2 linked regions of the Nothobranchius furzeri genome follow. The protein of the gene in region 1 purifies or fractionates together with the protein of each later gene. This does not show direct contact. Links are inferred from orthologs where the notes say so. Each region holds a gene or a part of one and is shown on either strand. Other genes may lie near its edges.

Region 1 (3,654 bases):
GTTTTGGTGGTAGCAGTCTCTCCTCCATGCTGGTCTGTTTGCCGCTGGGTGTTTTTGGTTTATTTAAACTTGGTAACTTGAGCTTAACGTTGGTAAAGCTACTGTTAGCATTTTCGCTAACAGCTTCTTGCGTTTGGATAAGCCGTTACGTTTTGGTTTAGAGTTCATCGTTTTTGTGGTGTAGATCTCCCTTTTATTACATTTAGAGTGTTGTGGGTTTTTGGTTTAGTTTAAGATATCACCGTGAGTTTGGTTTAACCGCCCAGTTTAGAGTTTGGACCTTTGCAGATCCTTATTTTGGTCCAGAACCCTGTAATCTTTGCCCAGTGGGACATCCCTACTTATTTGTACTTTTGTTTTAATTCCCCACGGGCAGAATTAGTTTTATTATTCCCAACCTGTGGATGGAAAGATTTATGTTTTTTTGTAGTTGTAAAGAACCCTGATCATCATTTTAACTTTTAAATCCCGCTATTGTCCCTTCCTTTTTGCACACGAGCCAAACTCCCCAGGAAGGGTCATAACACCACTCGCCTCACACACATAAGTGACCAAAACAAAGCAGCATGGAGACACTCCTTCTCCAACCACCTCTCAGGCAGCAGGCTGCATTCCCAAGTTCTACACGTCACCAGAACATAACCAACCGCAACACAATAAAAGCAGTGTTATACAAAATGGAAGGTCTGTAGCGTTTATTCTATTACAGTAACAATTGATCAATTTCTTGGAGGAATTTATTAAGAGATTTTCTTGTTTTTATTAATTATGCAATAAGAAAATAATTACTAGATTAATTGTCTAAATCGGGGGTCGGCAACCCGCGGCTCTGGAGCCACATGTGGCTCTTCCATCCATCTGATGCGGCTCTCTATGCTTGTAAAATAATGAATGGATATTTAAATAAAATGCTTTATATTTTACTGCATTAATTTTACATCTGTAAGCTAATTCTAAATGTAAAGGTTGTCTGCGTAAACCTGAACAGGTCCAACCCAGTCTTACTGTGAGACCGGGTTGACGCGTCACGCTTGTGCGTAATCATAGGCACTTTCCGAGCTGAAGAGGATGTGAGATTCTGGGATTCTCCTCAGACAGGCTCCTGGATGTGTCGCCACATTGGAGACAGGAACAAGCGCTATTCAGCCAAAGTTTCATAATCAGGGAACATTTTCTAAGTGACAAGTCTCGCTTCAGTGGGAGGAATCTTCACGCATGCGCTCTGGTTCTGCGACGCGCTCCAAGCCCCTCTCCACATCTTCAGCTCGCTGTGTACCATACGTATGCGCTGACAGTGAGCTGCGCTGAGCAATGTCCAGCTCAGATGTTCAGATGGGAATCTTTTCTTGAGTGATTTAGCTACATCTGCGATGTGTGTAGAATAAAATGTCAGTTTGTCTGCATGCGTCGGGGTAATTCTTTCTATTCTTTCTCCGTCAAAATAAACGGTCAAATACGGGAACTGTCCGGTCAACACAACACAAGCCCTGCTTTTAACTGTTTTGTTTTCTTGTGAAAATTGTTGCAAAGAGATATAATTTAACTTGATTAACACCAGAGCCAGGCGCACTGCGTCGTTATCTCCGCTGCTGTAAATGAGGGAAAAACAAACTGATCGGATCCTTTTCTGACCTTCCCCACCTACAAAGTTTAATTACAACAATCAAACGTGACAGAGCCTGGATTTGTATTCTGAACAGTCTAAACATGTTGTAAAAAGAAACGTATGACAAAAGTGGCACCTGCTCAGTAAAACCAACAGGGTGAAAAATATCAAAATATTGTAGGCAGAGACGGGCTACAACTTCTGGATCCACTTTATATAAATCATTTTATTGATTATCTTTTTTATGAAAGATAACTTTGACGTACACGAGCGACCGGTACCGACTGCTGTCACCTGTTGTGATTGGTTAAGGCAGCGCTCTGCTGTCTGAGGGTAGGCCCCGCCCACAACGCCGCGGCTGCTGTGGCTCCCAGTGTTTTCTTTACTGTGGGAAACGGGTAATAATGGCTCTTTGATGGGAACAGGTTGTCGACCCCTGCTCTAGTCACTAGAATAGTTGACTATTCGATAAAAAATCGTCAGGATAATCGTTTTAAAAATAATCGTTTACCCCCAGCCCTAACCTCCACAGAAACTACTGCAGATCGTTATGGTTACCGTTTTGGTAAGAGGACTGTATTTACAGAGTTCCAGAACCTCACAAGGCGCTTGACAACAGTCTTTCACCTAAATCTCAGGGTTAGTTTAAAAGGTTATGCTTGCTGATTTATAAGGTTGTATCTGATCCTTTTCACCCAATGTGATGGAACGTCCCCACTAATAATAATAATGTCATTTATAAAGGATTAAACCTTTTCTTTTTTACTCAGTGTAAAACACACCGAGTCATGGCTTTAACGCGATCACCTGTAACAGAACGTGATTGGTGCTTTAAAAGATTTGTGGATGAGGGTCCGACTGACCGTGTTCGATAATCTCCACCAAGCTACGCAGATGAGGCAGAATGGCGCAGCCCATCAGGATGGCGATCTGCTGTACTATCTTGATGCCCGTGTGTCGCGCCTGCCACGACTTCTTGCTTTTGCACACAGCTTTGAGGAAGGGCAGGAGGGAGGGGATACCAAGAGCCGAGGCCACCACCGCGAAGGCTCGAGCAGTCGTGTTTCTGACATACTCATCCATGTTGTCAATATCAGGTCGCATTGTGGAAATCATTGTAGCCAAACCAGCAGCCTTAAAAACATGAGAAAAACAAGTTCACAGGTTACTCTGATTACCACTGAAAGCCCAAACACAGCATCAGTCAGCAGAACAAACACTTTATAACTATGACTGTGCACTCATGCTGAAGTATTTAACAGATGCTGCTTCTTTGCAGAGGAACTGTAACCAACGGGTGCAGGTTGAGAACAGACTAGGCATTAAGGTCAGGTCTGCATGCTCTCATGTTGGTATCAATCTGGCGAACAACTAGCCCTGATCAGACCACAAACTGGTCAACCAGGCGAGAAAGGTTCGCGTCATTTCTCTGTTACATCAACAAAAGCAAATGGCAGCTAAACAATACCTTCGCTAAATTAGAGATGATCTCTCTGCCTTCAACTCGAGCATAGTAGTCCTCATCAATGAGCAGAGGCTCAATCACCACGAGAATCTGAAGAGAAAAGCTCAGGTTAGAGCGCCAACATCCATAGAGACAAATGCACGTCTCCGCAGTGAACCCACCTTGTGCACATACGGCCGAACCAGGTCATCCAGTTTGTAGAGAATCCTGTCGATAACTTTCACCAGCAGGTGGCGCTCCTGGTCTTCCAAGGTAGGCGACATGAGCAGCGGCAGGATCTGATTGAACAGGGGACCAGCTCCAAACTCACGGGCTTTGTCTGTGATTTGACGCAGAGCCGCCTGATAAAGAAAAGAGACGCGTCAGATAAAAGCCTCACAAACACACAGAAGTACTTTGGTTTAGCGGTTGCACCAACTGCCTGCTGAAGCAGACCTTTTCTCTGCTACGTGGAACAAACTGGCACCTGCTGATCTTTTTATTTGCACTTTGTGAAAAAAAAATACTAGCTGTAGTTTATAAACCTAAACAAACGAACATCACTATACAGAAGGTCACAGCAAAAAGTCTGTGGGGGTCAAAG
Region 2 (3,754 bases), on another chromosome or scaffold:
GCTAACAGTAGCTTTACCAAAAGTTCAAGTTACCAAGTTTAAATAAACCAAAAACACCCGGCAGCAAACAGACCAGCAGGGAGGAGAGACTGCTACCACCAAAACAGCTCTCCTCATGTCTGAAAGAAGCTCCTTTATGAAGGGAGAAGCGCTCCCGGTGATTTTCTACATCTGCGATAGACATGAAGCAGCGCATCTGACCCCGGAAGTTGTTGTCCGTTGCCGGGAGACGAAGGGGAAAAACAGGAAAATAATCTAGTAGTGGACGGACATTGTTCCGGGTCTTCGGTATTTGGCGGAGATGTTAGTGAAGGCGGAGAAGAGGGCAAACTAGAGGAAAAACAGGCAGATTCCTCCTCTATTTACAAACTCCTGGGGATGCAACAAGTGGGCGCGGTGCGTCAACTTCCGGATCTGACGTCGACAAATTTTTAGAATCGAGCCGTCGACTTCGTCGAGGCTTCGCTACAGCCCTAGTTTTAGGTGCCTACCTCCATTTGACTGTTTAGCATTTGTATTAACAGGTTACTACAGGGGTGCCCAATCCTGGTCCTGGAGGGCAGGTATCCAGCAGGTTTTGTGTTTTTTCTGCTCCAACAGACATGATTCAGTGGTTGAAACACCTGTGCAGCAGCTCATCAGGCTCTGCAGAAGCCAGTTAATTAGCTGCTGATTGAAATCAGGTGTGTTGAAGCGGAGTTCAAACTAAAACATGCAGGACCAGGATTCCGGCACCCCTGGGTTACAAAGTTAACTAAAAGCTGTTTGATAAGCTATCATCGGGTATATTAGGGCACCCTGGTGCAATAAGCTATACTTTTATGCATGATGACATGATTAGTTGACTAATCGTCAACAAAACTGGTGATTAGTCTACTATTAAAATTGTCTTTTGTGGCAGCCATACCTAAATGTGATTTTAAGTTTTTTGACTCTGCCATCCAAATGCATAAATGCATGGTGGCGCAGTTGTTAGCACTGTTGCCTCGCAGCAAGAAGGTTGCAGGTTCGAAACTCGGCTGTGGCCTTTCTGCGTGGAGTTGAGTGTTCTCCCCATGCATGCATGGGTTTCCTCCAGGTACTCCGGTTTCCCCTACAGATCACAACATGCCCTACAAGTAAAAAATTGTACGTCGCTATGGATAAAAGCGTCTGCAAATAAATAAACATAAAAAGCTAAATGTAAAATTTTCTCGCATAGATGCAGAACTCTGAATGTTTTTTTTTAGATGAAAATTCTTTCAATACCTGTCAAAAGCTTTAACTCTTCCAAGCAGCTTCTTATTGTTGCGGCAGTTGATGAGGACTTGAGTGTTGTTTTTCACTGACTGGGTGAGCACCGACAGGGGGCCGGTGTTGAACTCCTCCTCCTCCCGCTTCTGGAGTTCTTCTGGTGTCATCTCTGATTTGGGCTTCGTCAACAGACTCCTACACAAAAGCAGACACGATACTAGATCATTTGCTTCTGCACAGATAACGGTCACAAGTCCTTTTAGCGGTTTGCTTTTAAAACTTACATGATTACAAGATAATAAATGAAAACAAGGCACCCTAACTAAATGCAATTCAAGAAACCTGACTTTAACCGAGATTAAAATTTAAATCTCTCAGTAGAAGAGTGGGGAAGTTCCCATAGGCATTTAACAAAACTAATAACTTATTTTAAAAAATTTACACCAAGCTACTTTTAGCAATAGCCAAATATTCAACAATATCAGACATACACGTTTAATTTACTGGTTAGCAATCAGAAGTTAAAAAAAATTGAAGAGATTAGAATGACAAGTTTTGCATTAACAATTAACTGTTTCTCTGAGTTTCTTCATAACCTTCCTTTACTCTTTTGTATCAAGCAATGGATTTCTTAGAAGATTGATTAAAAAAAACATGTGGAACATCCTTGAGACAGAACGTCGCTAACAATGATGTTCTGAATTAAAATAAGCTCATATGCTTCAAAAACATAAAGCCGACTTCGTTACTAGGCTAATATCCTGACAATTTCATTCTCCAAACGCACATTTTAGAAAGTTGGTCAAACTGTTATCTACGGGGAACACAATTTGACTCAACACCGGTCTCCTTAATCGTGCTGCTAATATTTCGCAATTGGCAAACATAAAATTTAAACAATCGTAGCATCATTAACGATCACCAACGTAACTACTACATATATTTTATTGCAGTAATTACCCTGTACATATTAGGTTAATGGTGAGTAAAATATGAAAAGCGATAGCACGTTTAGAAAGCAACACAACGTGAGCTAACTAGCATTCATCAGTGAAAAGGCTAAACATGTTAGCATTCGAGAAAAGACGCTGCGACTCGTAGCTGATACTCTATCTCAAAAAATGACACTTTCCGAAATGGCTATCTCATCATCAACGACACTTACATGATTGGTGGTTTATAAAAACTGTTTAAAGCTGTTTTTCTCTCGTTTCCACCGTCTAATTCTTATGAGCAACGCTTCTGCCTTCTTCTCGTGGACGAAAACACTTCCGGGTCATTCTCAACGCGCTCTAAACAGTTCGCTATAACTTCCGGGTTACGGAGATTCTGCTCGGTAAGTGTAATGGAAAAAAAATCATCCATAAATGTAAAAATCTTGAAACTATTATTTTCTTAGTTACTTTTTTCCTAAATTCTATCTATCTATCTATCTATCTATCTATCTATCTATCTATCTATCTATCTATCTATCTATCTATCTATCTATCTATCTATCTATCTATCTATCTATCTATCTATCTATCTATCTATCTATCTATCTATCTATCTATCTATCTATCTATCTATCTATCTATCTATCTATCTATCTATCATCATCATCATCATCTATAGTAGTTCTTCAATACAGTTCCAACACAACCAGTGCATAGAACAAGCGTGTAAAAGGTAAGCCCCTCTTTTTTCGTCATTGCTTATTCTTCATACGTCATGAAGCTGATGCCCAACTCTAGCACTCATCAGTCAAGAGGTGAGTCCTTGGATGGGTCACCAGTCTAGCACAGGGCCACATGGAGACAAACAGGGACAAACAAATATGTATTTATATTTAGAGACACAATGGAACCTAAATGTTCTTGTTGTATCCAGTGAAAACCAGTGTATGCATGGCCAGAATGCACTTTGAAGAAAGGCAACCTTGCAACCTTCTTGTTGTGGGGAAGCAGTACCATTTGTACCATGCAGCCCTATATCAAAAACTCTCTCCTCACAAAGTAAAGAGGAAATAAATAAGACTGAGGAAGCAGACCTCTCCGTAGTCTGCAGCCCAAACAGGTAAGCCTTTGTTTCGCTGTTTAACACAGCAAAGGTGTGTGTGTGTGTGTGTGTGTGTGTGTGTGTGTGTGTGTGTGTGTGTGTGTGTGTGTGTGTGTGTGTGTGTGTGTAAAGGAGAGAAACGGGTATATGTGGCAGCAACGAGACACTAAGAGATTGGCTTTCTGGCAAGAGACAGACAGACGCCTATGGGTGCTCAACCCACCCACCTTGTTCCAAAGGTTACAGATCTACCTGTGGAAATCACTTGCTGTAGATAATGGCAGGCTGTGTGTTGCTGGGAGAGGTGAATGAGTGGGATTGGTTTCCAGACTGCACGGTTCTATACCTTTACCAAGCACACTCACCCTAGACTCTTGCATCTTGAGATGCAGACTAAAATGAGCTCAGCGTTACCTTACATGGGATGGAGCTGCATTCTCTAATCTGAACACACTACAGTGGCCCAATTAAGAGAGCAACAAGC

What was found. Proteins that work in one complex are often made in the same cells at the same time.
Region 2: the proteins of sf3b1 (region 1) and snrpd2 fractionate together in Homo sapiens (co-fractionation; 5 studies listed by BioGRID and IntAct, with this or other methods). This does not show direct contact. The link is inferred for Nothobranchius furzeri from reciprocal best matches to the Homo sapiens genes SF3B1 and SNRPD2.

What each region holds. Positions count from the first base shown.
Region 1 is NC_091754.1:36,036,694-36,040,347, forward strand, and holds part of sf3b1 (splicing factor 3B subunit 1), read right to left. Parts: intron 3,413-3,654; coding exon 3,233-3,412; intron 3,162-3,232; coding exon 3,075-3,161; intron 2,741-3,074; coding exon 2,470-2,740; intron 1-2,469. UniProt on the Homo sapiens protein: Component of the 17S U2 SnRNP complex of the spliceosome, a large ribonucleoprotein complex that removes introns from transcribed pre-mRNAs.
Region 2 is NC_091753.1:27,245,856-27,249,609, reverse strand, and holds the start of snrpd2 (small nuclear ribonucleoprotein Sm D2), read right to left. Parts: upstream 2,537-3,754; 5' UTR 2,401-2,536; coding exon 2,399-2,400; intron 1,429-2,398; coding exon 1,249-1,428; intron 1-1,248. UniProt on the Homo sapiens protein: Plays a role in pre-mRNA splicing as a core component of the spliceosomal U1, U2, U4 and U5 small nuclear ribonucleoproteins (snRNPs), the building blocks of the spliceosome.